3 linked regions of the Coturnix japonica genome follow. The protein of the gene in region 3 purifies or fractionates together with the protein of the main gene of each other region. This does not show direct contact. Links are inferred from orthologs where the notes say so. Each region holds a gene or a part of one and is shown on either strand. Other genes may lie near its edges.

What was found.
Region 1: the proteins of YAF2 (region 3) and BCORL1 purify together in Homo sapiens (affinity purification with mass spectrometry; 5 studies listed by BioGRID and IntAct, counting the BioPlex papers as one, with this or other methods). This does not show direct contact. The link is inferred for Coturnix japonica from reciprocal best matches to the Homo sapiens genes YAF2 and BCORL1.
Region 2: the proteins of YAF2 (region 3) and TFDP1 purify together in Homo sapiens (affinity purification with mass spectrometry; 3 studies listed by BioGRID and IntAct, counting the BioPlex papers as one, with this or other methods). This does not show direct contact. The link is inferred for Coturnix japonica from reciprocal best matches to the Homo sapiens genes YAF2 and TFDP1.

The regions. Positions count from the first base shown.
Region 1 is NC_029519.1:1,564,698-1,568,905, forward strand, and holds the start of BCORL1 (BCL-6 corepressor-like protein 1), read right to left. Parts: upstream 2,801-4,208; 5' UTR 2,784-2,800; intron 2,684-2,783; coding exon of another isoform or gene 2,157-2,683; intron 2,019-2,156; coding exon of another isoform or gene 1,698-2,018; intron 1-1,697. Other genes in the region: translation initiation factor IF-2-like, read left to right, coding at 1,698-2,018, 2,157-2,683, 2,801-3,212. UniProt on the Homo sapiens protein: Transcriptional corepressor. May specifically inhibit gene expression when recruited to promoter regions by sequence-specific DNA-binding proteins such as BCL6.
Region 2 is NC_029516.1:123,726,482-123,730,695, forward strand, and holds the start of TFDP1 (transcription factor Dp-1), read right to left. Parts: upstream 2,801-4,214; 5' UTR 2,685-2,800; intron 2,319-2,684; exon of another isoform or gene 2,191-2,318; intron 1,779-2,190; 5' UTR 1,706-1,778; coding exon 1,694-1,705; intron 1-1,693. UniProt on the Homo sapiens protein: Can stimulate E2F-dependent transcription.
Region 3 is NC_029516.1:26,706,527-26,710,527, reverse strand, and holds the start of YAF2 (YY1-associated factor 2), read left to right. Parts: upstream 1-1,201; 5' UTR 1,202-1,379; coding exon 1,380-1,405; intron 1,406-1,534; coding exon 1,535-1,660; intron 1,661-4,001. UniProt on the Homo sapiens protein: Binds to MYC and inhibits MYC-mediated transactivation. Also binds to MYCN and enhances MYCN-dependent transcriptional activation. Increases calpain 2-mediated proteolysis of YY1 in vitro.

The sequences.
Region 1 (4,208 bases), on a different chromosome or scaffold from region 3:
GCTTCAAACCCCCAACAAGCTCCATCCTAAAATGGCTCAGGTTTTGAGACGCTCACCTTCCCTCTCCCTATCCCTACCAATGCAGCACAGGCCACTCACCCACCCAACACCACCACCCTCCATCAGCCAGGCAGGAGCCGACGGGCACCAACACACTTCAGCAACCCCCAAGCCGAGCTCTGGGCAGGGATGAGAGCTGCACAGCACCATCAAGCAAAGCCCCGGCGAGCCGCGATGCACGGCACTGACAGCAGCGGGGCTGTGAATTGCAGAGAGCTCCCCCGGGTGAGCAGCAGCCCCGCAGAGCCCCGCGCTGAGCTTTGGGTTGCGGCAGTTCAAAGTTGGTGCGACGCAGACAAAGGGATGCAGCCAGATGGGGGCCGAGCACAGTGAAACGCTGCATAACTGGGACAGCAGCACGGAGGGAGGGAAGGGAAGAGGGAAAAGAGAAAAGGGAAAGAGCTTTTCCCATCTGAGCGCGCTGCACGAGTCCGGCACATCCCTCTGCAGCACGAGAGCAGGAGGACGCAGCTGCTGGTACCGGGAGCGCTGCGCGGCACGGCTGGCCAGGGGGCACTGTGGGCGGCCGGCAGGATGCACTTTGACCCTGGAAACACACCCAGGGAGACACCTTTGGAACACGATCCGGGAGAGGAGCAAAATGCTACTTTTTGCCACCCCGATGACTCAAAAACGTAAAGCAGTCCTGGATGGGGGGAACCCAGGCGGGACTCGCTGCCTGCGCTGCGCTCACCGCGAGCTGCTGCCGCCAATGAGAGCCAGAGCAGAGGGGCTGCCCCTCGGTGGGGCACGGAAGGGCCGGGAGGAAGCGATGTGCATCCACAGGGATGGCCTCACTCACTCCGGAGAGTTTGTTCACTTTGGCAATCTTCGTTGCCATTAGAAACAGGGGCGAGAAATTGTATTTGTTTTTAGCTGCGATCGTCAGGCATCCATTTGAGGTGCAGAGGTCCGGAGCCAAAGCTGCCCCCGACACCCCAGAGGGGATTCAGCCCTGAGCAGGAGCTCAGAAAAAAAACCCTTTCCAGAGGACTGCGTGCAAAAAGAATGTTAAAAGTAAAACCAATCGTGACGGTCATCTCTACGTGGGGCATCCAGGGGAAAAAAAATAGGTGAGAAAAGCAACAAATTGCAGCAGCAGCAGCGTGGCACCAGCAGCCAGCAGGGATCGGCCCCAACCCGGCTCGGTGGGCACAAAGTACTGAGTGCAGCCCCGACCCCGCCGTGTTTGGGATCCCCCCGGGGCTGCGTGGAGCCCCGGAGCGCTGCGGTGCTGAGCCAGGCTTTGCCCAACGCATTTGCTTAAGCTGCTTTAAAGACACAGCAGCACCGCGAGTAATTATAGATACTCGGCGCGATGAATTGGGAAGGAAAAGGGGGAAAAAAAATAAAAAATAAAGAGAGGAAAAAGAGAAAATCCATCCTCGGGTGGAATAAAAATAAAGTTTGCTGCACGTCGGTTCCTGCAAGACACGGACAACAGCGAGCATCGCGCCGCACCCGCGGCAGGAGCGGGTCTTTAAAGGGACGGGGAGAGAAAACGGCACGAAGGGGGTGGGGGATATCTGCAAAGAGACGTTAACAGGCCCACGTTGTGCACGGCGCGGAGAGCGGGGAGCAGCCCGGCCCTGCAGCGCGGAGCCGCGGCCTCGGGGAGAGCCGACGCGGTGACAGCGATGCGGGACGCGGGGATGGCGGCGCTCGGGGGCCGCGCGGGGCGACGTCCCGGCCGTGTCCCCGCCGAGAACGGCGCTCGTTGGGAGCGGATGCTCGGAGGGAGCACGAACGGTGGTGCCCTTCCCCGAGGGCTGCGCTCGGGCGAGGAAGGCGGGGAGAGCCCTCCGAGCGGCGCTCGGGATGCCGGCCGCACACACGGCGCCGGAGCTCCGCGCAGCCCTCCCGGCAGGAAGCGCCGCTCCGGTCCCGCCGCCGCCGCGCACCTCGGGCACGGCCCCTCCCGCCCGGAGCCGCGGGGCCGCAGCGGGGGCAGCGCCGAGGCTCGGCCCCCACCCGCCCCACCCCGCACCGCCCCGCACCGCCCCGCTGCTGGGGGGGAGCAGGGAGGGAGGGGGGGTCCGCCCGGGCACCCCTCGGCCCAGACCCCGCCGCCGTTCAACAGTTGTTCCGCGGGGCAGCCCCGGACGTGGGGCGCTGTCCCCGGGGAGGGCCCTTCCGCCACCGAGCGGGGCCGACACCGGGACTTTCCTCCGCGGCGGGCGCGGGCCACGCCGCCAAACTCCGCGCGGAGCGGCCGCCGTCCCACCGCCACCGACCGCACCGCACCGCGAGCGCCGCGCCCCGCCCCGCTCGGCCCCGGGACCCCCCGGCAGCGGCAGGTGCCGCCGGTGCCGGTGTCGGTGTCGGTGCCGGAGCCTCCGCGCGGGGTCGGGCAGCGGCACGCGGCGCCGTCGCGGGGCACACGGAACGGAGCGGCACCGGCACCGCCGCTGTCACCGCGCGCCGCCCCCGCCCGCCGTCCGAGCGGGACGCCGCCTCCCCCCCGCACCGCCCCCCCCCAGGCCGGTACCCCCCCCCACCGCCCGCCGTCCCGGGACCGGTTTTCCATGGAGACCCCCGTCCGAGGGCCGCTCGGGGCCGTCCGCTCGCCGCCGTCCGCCCGGCCCCGGCGGTGGGTGCGGAGCGACCGGGCCCGGGGTTACCCGTGAGAGCGGGGCCGGGCGTCCGGAGCGGGGCGGCGGAGCCGGAGAGACGGAGGAGGGGAAGGGGGGGGGGGGGGGGCGGTTGTGTGGCCGGGCGCGCACCTGTTTCCCTCGACGAGGCGGACGGCGGAGCGGGGAGCGCGGCGGGGCGAGGCGGGCCCCTGCCCGGAGCGGGCGGCGGATCGGACCGCGGCGCGGCGAGCGGCGGTTCGGCGGCGGCGGAGACACTGGCAGCGGCAGCCGGAGTGTGAGGGCGAGAGCGAGCCGCCGCCGCCGCGGGGGATGACGGGAGCCGTAGTCCGCCCGCCGCGCCCCGCCGCCCGCCGCGCCGCCCCGCGGACTGCAGCTCCCGGCGTGCCCCGCGCCCGCCCTGCCCGCGATGGGGGGGGGGGCGCTGTGCGGAGCCGGCCGAGTCCGGAGAGAGGGAACGGGCGGCGGGAGGGAGCGAGCCGGGAGGAGGGGGAACGAGCACGGCACGGCACGAGGGGGGAGGAGGGAGCGGGAGGAGGGACGGAGATCGGGGGGGGCTGAGGGGGGGGGGGTCACTCCCCGGCTGGGAGGGGCCGCTCCGCACCCACGGGCGGGTGGAGGCGCGGGGGAAGCGCACGCACAGCGCGCACCGCACACCCGCACCGAGCCGGGGCACCGGTGCCCGCACCCGCAGGGGGAGGGAGCGGGGGGTGGGTGCGGGGAGGGAGGAGGAGGAGGAGGAGGAGCGGGCGGAGGCCGGGAGCTGCACAGCGGGCAGTGCTGGACGGGCACACGGCGAGCGCGGAACCCGCACCGCTCCGCTCCGCTCCGCACCGCGCACCTCCGCCGCCCGCAGCCCCGCGGCGGAACGGGCGTGGAGTGTCCGAGCGGCCCCGCCCCGCCCCGCCCCGCCGGGACGACGTGGGCTCGGGCAGCGCGGCCCCGGGGCGGCGGCGGACATGGCGCTCGGGTGTCGCCCCCCGCCCCACCCGGGGTTCGCCCCGCGGAGGTCCCCGCTGTTCCCCGGCCCCGCGGCAGCGCCGTGCGGGAGAACGGCGGAAAGGACGGCGGCGGCGGGGCGGTGCGGAGCGCCTCGCGGTGTGCGAGGACCGAGAGAGGAGGAGGAGGGCGGCCGAGGCCTCGGGGCTGCGCTCTGCTACTCGGGAGGGCACTGAGCCCGAGAAGGCCCGGAGGGAGGGAACTGCTCCCGCGGGGTGGGATGACGCGGGTTCTGCCCCGCACCGCAACACCCCGCCGCCTCCGGGCCGTGCGCGGCCCCGTGCGCTGCGGCCGAACGGAGCCGGGACTCCAGGTTGGGAGGCCGGAGCTGCCCCCGCGCTCCCGAAGCGCTGCCCTATTTGCGTGGCGGTGCCGTTAACGCCGTCGCGGTTTGCGGCTCTCCGTCCCGCAGCGCTCGGGGTGCGTGGGGCGGCCCCCAGCAGAGCTCTGCTCCCGCTGCCTGGCGCTGGAATTGGCCCACGCTTCGGTATCTCCGGGCTGGGAGAATCGACACCCGGGAGCTCGGCGCTGCTGAAAAATTCCGCGGCTCTTCCGCAT
Region 2 (4,214 bases), about 97 Mb from region 3:
TGGGGGCATTCATCAACTATGCCATGTTATTCACCACATCTTGCAGACCGTTAGAGCGCTCGATAGGTGACACAGCAGAACCGCGGGCCATTAATGCGGTTCATCTTTCTTCCCTCAAACAGGATTTTACATATATGCAAAGGCTTCTGAAAACGGGTTACACAGTTCTTCAGTTAAGACCTCATACACTTTCTCCCTACCCTGTCCCAGTGTTCAAGCATGCTTAACATGTCACCTACAACCTGAGCCGGATTACTGCTCCTCCAAATTCAGTTTATTACTTCTTGATCTGCTCTTAGAAGACACTGAAAACACCTATTCGTTCCCACCTGTAGCATCTTCTTCCATTTCTGAAGTTTGTTGTTGCGCATGTTATTCCTCCCTTAACTACTCCCCTCCTACAGCAAAATGGATCTCTCCAATTAGGTTCTTTCTTAGATGCCTTACCCCCATTATGTCCCCACACACATTATACGACACCGATCTAACTTCCAGGTGCCAGTCCTTCACTCAGCCCATCTCCTTCCAAATGGCAGTACGAAATGGATGTATCCTAACATATGAATTACTCTGAGCTGCCGCTTATTTCACCTCCTCTTCCACCCCTCCTCTTCCATTTTTTTCCCTGCTCGTACAGCCCTTCATTCCCTGAACTCTGCTATCTGTAGCGCACTTGAACGCCCTTATCTTTTACAGGCGAGCGTGCAGTGACTACGTATTTCTGGTTGCGTTTCTGCACACCGAGATACTTTCCATATGCTTCTGAACTCCTAAAATTCCCTACAAGATTAATTTGTTAAACCAATCACTATTTCACAGTAATTCTCACTCTCCGAAAGCTACAACAGTTCACACAATAACGTAACCTGCTGTTTAGAACTGGAATTGCTTTGTGACTTGTTTGCTATTTTGTTGTCCTTTTTGGGGGGGGTGGGGGGGAGATGCATTCAAGTTTGAATACAGAGCTCTCCATTCTCTCCTTCTCAATATAGAACCGTGGCAGTCCAATTACATTAGCTACAAGCAATGAAATAGATCTGAAAGGCGGAACCTGTTCAAATGGTTCTTAAAAGAATACTGGAATGGATAAGAGCAAAGGTGTTTCTGAGGCCTGCCTCAAGGCCACCAGTCATGGCAAGGATGGCAGTGGAAGTGTATGCTGCAAGCTCCCAATGCTTGCTTTTACAAGCAGTAATCAGCATCTTTGAATGGACAGGGAAGAAAGAGTGAGGAGATAAGGAGGCTTTGCTACCCCGAACACACCAAGCAGCAGAGGCAGCACCAGCCAGCAGTGACACTCAGCTGGTGACTTCTGGAGATAACAGGACAGAGCCACCAACCACCCCAGCATCTGAACGGTGTATTCTAGGGCTTTCTGAACCCACGTCAAAGCCAACCTGGGGTGGTGTTCAATGTGAACACATCTAATGCCAATGACCAGAGAGCTTTTATGACGACAGTAGATTCCAAGGGCTACTTTGAGGAACCTGCTGCAGACCTGAAGCTGGTTTGGGGTCGGACCATCCATATAGTGAAGCACAGCCCAGGCCTGGGGTACAGCACAGTCAGGTTCACACGTTTGCACTGCCAGCTATACCAGAGCCTGACCTGCTTTGCTTCCGTTAGCAAAAACAAAAGCAAAAATATGCTATTAGCTATGCCCCTGCATGTGATGCGCTATAAATATACTTACATCTTTTGCCATGTTACCCCAGCCTAGCAGGCAATCCTCTTACAATCCTGCTGCCTGCGGGACGCTGGGACGACGATGCTATTCTCTAGAAAGCAAACACAACCACCATCAGTCAGCTCTCCACAATGAGACGAGGCAAACTTTGCACCGCCCCGATTCCCGTTGTGCTTCAGAACAGAACCCTATGGGAGAGCGCAAAGTTCCCCCCCATGCCCCGTTCTATCGAAGCGACGCCCCCGCTCACAGCCAGCACGTGGGAGCGACGCCCCGCCGCCCACCCTCACGGCTTGTGGTGGGGGTTGCACGGCACGCTCGGGCGGGCCCCATCCCGTCGGCGGGCACACGCAGGCCTCTGGGCCGCCCCCCTCCCTTCCCGCCCGCAGCCGGAGACCGCAGCCGCCGGGGCCTCCGCTCAGCGGCGGGTGGCCACGCCGATGGCGGCTCCGCGGGCGCCTCCCATCCTTCCCTCCGTATCCTGGGGCCGCAGCCGCTCGCACCTGAGCGGCCCAATGCGGAGATCGCCGGCTCCATCCCCCGCCGCCGCTGTCCCCCCAGCCCGTGTCCCGGCGCCGAGCTGCCGCTGCGGAGGCGCCCGACTGCACATGTGCGGCGGGCGGGCGGCGCGCGCGGGCCCGCGAGCCCGGCGGGAGGGGGCAGGGGCGGAGGGAGGGAGCGGGCGCCCAACGGCCGCAATGTGTGTGTATATATGGGGGGGGGCGGCTGGACGCGCTCCGTGCCGGCACGGCGGGGTGTGGGGGGGCGGCGTGCGGGCTGTCACCGTGCGGCCAGAGCACACCTGCACGGGGGGCGGCAGCGGGGAAAGGGGGGGGGGGGGGGGGGTGAACTAAAGCGGCTGTCCCTGCCCGCGATCCCACCGTCCGCTTTCTCTCTCTTCCCTTTCGTTCTATTCCCCGTGGGGATTTGGGGGGGGGGACAGCGCCGGTGAACCGGGGAATGAGGGGGAGCCCGAAAAAAAAAAATTGAAACTTACACTTTTGTGCGTCCCACCGGCGTGACGCTGCGCGCTGACGTCACGGGGTGTAGCGTGCCTTGCACGGGCACACGCGGAGCGCAGCAGCCAACCGGCCGGCACGGCGGGGGCGGAGGGAGCATGCGCGGGATTTTCGCGCTTTCCGACTCCCCGCCCTGCAACGCTGGCGGCGGGAAGCGGCGGCGCCAGGTTGATGTTCGGGCGGGCACGTGGTGTGCGGCCATCAGTGCGGTGACCGGCACATGGCGGGTGGGGATGGGCACAGCTGGGGAGCACGGCAGCCATGGAGGCATCGTCCCTGGAGGTGTCATCATCATCACAGTATCACAGTCTGGTGCGGGTTGGAAGGGACCTTAGAGATCATCGAGTCGAACCCCCGGGATTCGAGTCTCTGTGTAGCAGAGCGGCACTTCTACCACTTGCGCCACAGGGGGATTCGAACCCAGCGCCTTTGGTGTTGCAACGCGGCATTCCTACCACTGCGCCACCGGGGTACGCGGTGTTGAGGAGCTGTGTGGATGTGGCACTGAGAGATGTGGTCAGCAGGCATGGGCTCATAGTTGGACTGGATGGTAGAATCATAGAGCCATAGAATGGCCTGGGTTGAAAAGGACCACAATGATCATCTGGTTTCAACCCCCCTGCTATGTGCAGGGTCACCAACCACCAGACCAGGCTGCCCAGAGCCACATCCAGCCAGCCCTCCAGGGATGGGGCATCCACAACCACCTGTTCCAGTGCGTCACAACCCTCTGTGTGAAAAACTTCCTCCTCTGTGTCTGCCCCACTCATTGCTGTGGGTACCACGGCCACGCATTGCCCTGCACTGATAGCCGCCATGGCCCCATCTCCCCATCCTTCCTTCCTTGTGGGACATGGTAGCAGCAGCTTCTCTGCAAACAAGAATTGAGCACGTTTCAGAATGAGAACAGATTACAACTCCAAACGTCAGTTTGCTGCGACTCCACAGCGGACACAGATATGAGGAGAACGTGTTTTAACTAACCTGCAATCAGAAACCTGCCAGAGAACGTGCACAGGGACCCATTCTGATTGTTGGAAATTGAAGCCAAGCCATCTTAAGAGAGGGACCTGTGAGAGCTCCTTAAATACAGCCCTCATACCAGCTGATAAGCTTGTCAGCATTTGGCCTCCTTGGGTGGAACTATCTCCCAATTCTCAAATTTCTGCTCTATTTTAAGAAATAAAAATACAGCTTGCCACTGTAACCCTAAGAGTTTTGCCATTCCCTGATGTAGGTTGTATCCCCCAAGGCAGGATCAGCTGTCCATAGGCACTCCGGTCACTTGATTGTCCAGTTTGTCCTTTATCTGCAGAAATTGGGATTTCTTAGTCTCTCTTGGTGGCTCACCGTCCCTACCATCAAGAAGCCTCTCCCCACTGGCAGTAGTAATTACTCAATGGAGTCTGTGGGAGATCCAAAGAAACACGCTTCCTGCTCCGTGAAGCTGGTAGGCCTGTATCTTTATCTTCTGCCTGTTGTTTCCTTCAGGGCAGGGTGGGCTGCAT
Region 3 (4,001 bases):
AAACTGCAGCCTGTACAAGTGTTAGTACTTAAGCATTAGTACTTTTACATACATGTAGATGTTCCACATAATGGATCTTTCATTGCTTCTACAAGAAGATGTCAAGCCCTTTACCCACGTTTTCCACTCCTTCATCACTTCCCAATATTTCTAGCTGAAATTCTTTACAAACTTTGCCTTCGGAAACGAGAAGTTTCTCTATTATCCACTCGCTAAATTTCTAAAGATGCCCCAACAACTCCAGCTGTGCTTGTTCACACACTCGGGTGAATCACCCCTTGGGGCACGTTTTGTTCTCAAAACCCCGCCGTTCCTACGCAAAGGCGATGCAGCAAAACCAGCTGTGGTCACTGCGATGCTGACCACCTCATTGTCTGCTCGCACTCTGCCATCTACCTGTACCGAACCGCCTTTGTTACACACTCCGGACATGTGCTCTTTGTTCTGTTTGCGCAGCATCCTGCAAAATGGCACCCTGCCCTGTGCCCGGGGCTGCTGCGTGCGGAGATAGCGCAGGTACACGACCGCTGTGCGCCACAGCACACAGCACACAGCAGTGTTTGAAGCGCAGTACTGCACATGGATACAGGCAGCATCGTGGGGCGGACAGGCCGGGTCGCACCGGAGGTTTCTAAGCAGAACCCCACTTAGCGCTCGGTTGGTTCCGCACAGCTCGGCCTGCACGGTATCTTCGGGAGCAGAGCGAAGCAGGATTACCACGGGAAAAGCCCGTTCCTAAGGGCAGAGCTGCACGGGCTGTACAAACACCTCACCTCTCTCTCGGAGGCCGTACCCCGGGCTCAGCCCTTCTGCAGGCGGCCGAGGGCTGCTCTCCACACCGACTGACGGCGGCCCGGCCCCGCACAGCCGCGCTCTGCCCGGCAGCGGCCTCCGCCCCGCGCTGGGCCTCTGCGAGCCGAACGCCGCGGCCCCGTTCCCGTCAGCCGGACAATGGCCGCAGGACGCCCCGCCGCTGCCGGCCCCGGGCACGGCCGCGCCGCCTCCTCTCCCCTGTCGTCTCCTCTCGTCTCCTTTCCCCTCCCCTACGGCCGCCCCCAGCAGCCCCCGCGTTGCCCCGGTCCCGCCGCCTCCCGGCCCGCAGCGCCCGATCCCCGGCGCTCTCCAGCCGCGAACCTGCCGCCGTGCGCGGCCCGCCGGGCTCCGCGGCCTGCGGGCGGCCGCTGGTTGGCGGCGGGGGGACACGTGAGGGAGGAGGGGGCAGCGGCGGCGGCAGGAGTTTCCCCGACAGCTGGAGGTTGCGGCGGTGGCTCCTCCTCCGCGGGTCCCCGTTAGAGGCGAGAGACCCCCGCGCTCCTCCTTATTGACAAATACACAAAGGGCCGCGCCGGGGCCGGGCCGGGGACGCGTGTGGAGGCGGCATGGGAGACAAGAAGAGCCCGACCAGGTAGGGCAGCGCCGCCGCCTTCCCGGGGCCCGCTCGGGTGCGCGGGGCCGGCGGCGATGGCGCCCGGGGGGGGGGCCGGTGTCGGGCGGCGCGCCCCGACCGTGCCCCGCGTGTGCTGTGTCTCCGCAGGCCGAAGCGGCAGCCGAAACCCTCCTCGGACGAGGGCTACTGGGACTGCAGCGTCTGCACCTTCCGCAACAGCGCCGAGGCCTTCAAGTGCATGATGTGCGACGTGAGAAAGGGCACCTCCACACGGTGAGTCCCCGCCGGCGGCCCCCGGTTCGCGAGGCGGCGGCCCTGACGGTAGCGGGGCCGCGTTCGGCGGGGGGGGGAACCGGGCCGGGCCGGGGGGTTCCCTCCCCACAGCGATCCGTGCACCAGCGGCGTCCCACGAGGAGCTGCTCTATGCCAGCCGTCAGAAGGTGCACGGTGACCTACCTGCTCCCTGCCCCTCCTGACACCGGGCCAGCGGGGGCTTCACACGGCCAGCGGGAGTGCTGGCCGGGGAGAGCATTATTAAAGGATCCTTTGTTAGTGTATGGAGCTTATGGCTTAATGCTGTCAGCCGGAGAAGTTTGAGTGGCAATAAAAGTTGCGATCCTATGATGAGCAGCAATTGCGTTTTAGATAGCATTCATAACAGCGCTGAATGTGACTCGCAGCAAACGTTACACATTTGTAAGTGCAGATGCGTGGTGAGAATGATGCGTCTCTATTTCTGAAGTTGATTTCCTGGAGTTCTGCGAACTGGAGCATGTGTCGGAAGTGCTCATAACTTCAGCTTCGAATATGTATATGTGTATATCATAAATAAGGCAATCAGTGAGGTAAATGTGCCGAGAGGAATTGCATCTGTCACATACAGCGTGCTTTCCAGCGATAAGTGTGGCGTTCTGTTGTATCGCAGGTAGATGTGCTCCAGCTGGTCACGTTCAGCAAAATAAAGGGATGATTGTAAGTTTGGGAAGGCAGCACGGCTGGAGGCTGCAGCCATCCTCAGCCTCCGGCCAGTCTGATAGACAAAGTGACTTCAGATTCCACTGATCCTGAAACTCAGTTGATGAAAGCACTAAGACGAAACAAACAATCAAGCAGGTCCTGAGATACCTGTGTCACCATTGCTTTTTTCCCCCTCCTTCTTGAATACTTTATAGGTTTTGGACTGTGACATAAATTGAACGTATTTTAGGAACGATTATTTTTTCTTTCCTCTTTCTCCCTCACAGCGTTGTGATATGCAGAGTTTTAGCTGATACCGTCATTTTTATTTCTCTGCTTAAACTCTGAAGTGATGGGGTTTGTGGATGTCATTTTCCCATTCAGTTTAAATGGGTCATGTTTTCATGTAGGTGCAAAGTCTGGGGTTATCAGATAGATGTTGGGGGGTGGGGTGGGCTCGAATGGGCAGTTTTAGGTCCAGCTCTGAGCTGAGATGTGAGCTGGTGAGTAGACCTTTGTATCTATGGAGAGAAGAATCCTTAGGGTGCCAAGGAGACACAAAAGGCTGTTTGGGTGGATTGATTGATTGATTGATTTAAAGGAAATGAAGTCCAAGGCACCAAATTGGGGCCCTATTAAACCATTTAGTCGTACCACCCTTAGAATTAGACATTTTTGTTGGCGTTGTTCACAGTCACAATACCGTGCAGTTCTGATGGCACTGGGAATGTTGGGGGATTTTTTTGTCTTCCATTTTGAATCTTAATGTTTGTATGTATGAAGCCGATGCCTCAGCACAGTTCTTAAGTGTGCATTGGTTCTTACTTCCAAATTCCTGCTTTTTTCTTCTTTAAATCAATGAAATCTATGTCTACTAGACATAGTAGCCCCTATGTGATGTAAGCAGTGATGTAAAGCACCTTTTTTTAGTTCAGAGAAATCTGTTTCTTTGTGATGAACTGTTTGATGTCTGCTTCTGAGTGTTAAAATTCTCTAAATGTGAACAGATTTGCAGATAGAGAACCAGGCAATCACAGTCAAGTGAAATGCTTTTGAAGGCCACTGCAAATTAGGTTAAGTTGATTGTAACTCGCGTGTTTTTATGCTAATTGTGTACAATTAATTTCACAGAATCTTACTCAGGTGCAAATTTAGAGTCAGATTTATGTGTGTTTTTACTGTTGAACCATTTTCCTCTCTCCAGAAGAATAACCTTTGATGCTAAGGGCAACATATGGATTATGAACTTTAAAACTGGTGGCGTTGTTAAGGGTAGTGGGAATAATTCTTACGACTCCTCAGTCATATTTTATTATACTTCTGGAGGGAGCTCTCAGTCATGGACTTGAATTAACTTGTTCCATGGTAGTGTCACCGTGGATGATTAAACCAGGTTGTTCTTGGACAGGAGACATCCAAGAGAAATCCTGGATGCAGCAAGAAGGGACATAACAGACTCCCAAGGTGGCACTGTTTTCTTTGGGTTTATAATGAACCAGTGCCCAGCATGGAGCCAGTTAGATGTGCTGTGAGTCAGGTGGGAAGCTGACATCCCATCTGCCGGTTGGAAATCCCTGTGTGTTTTGCTGTTTGCTCGACTGAAGACCTAAATTTTCCTGTAGACATGGCTTTCTTATTTACTTTCTAGACTAAATTG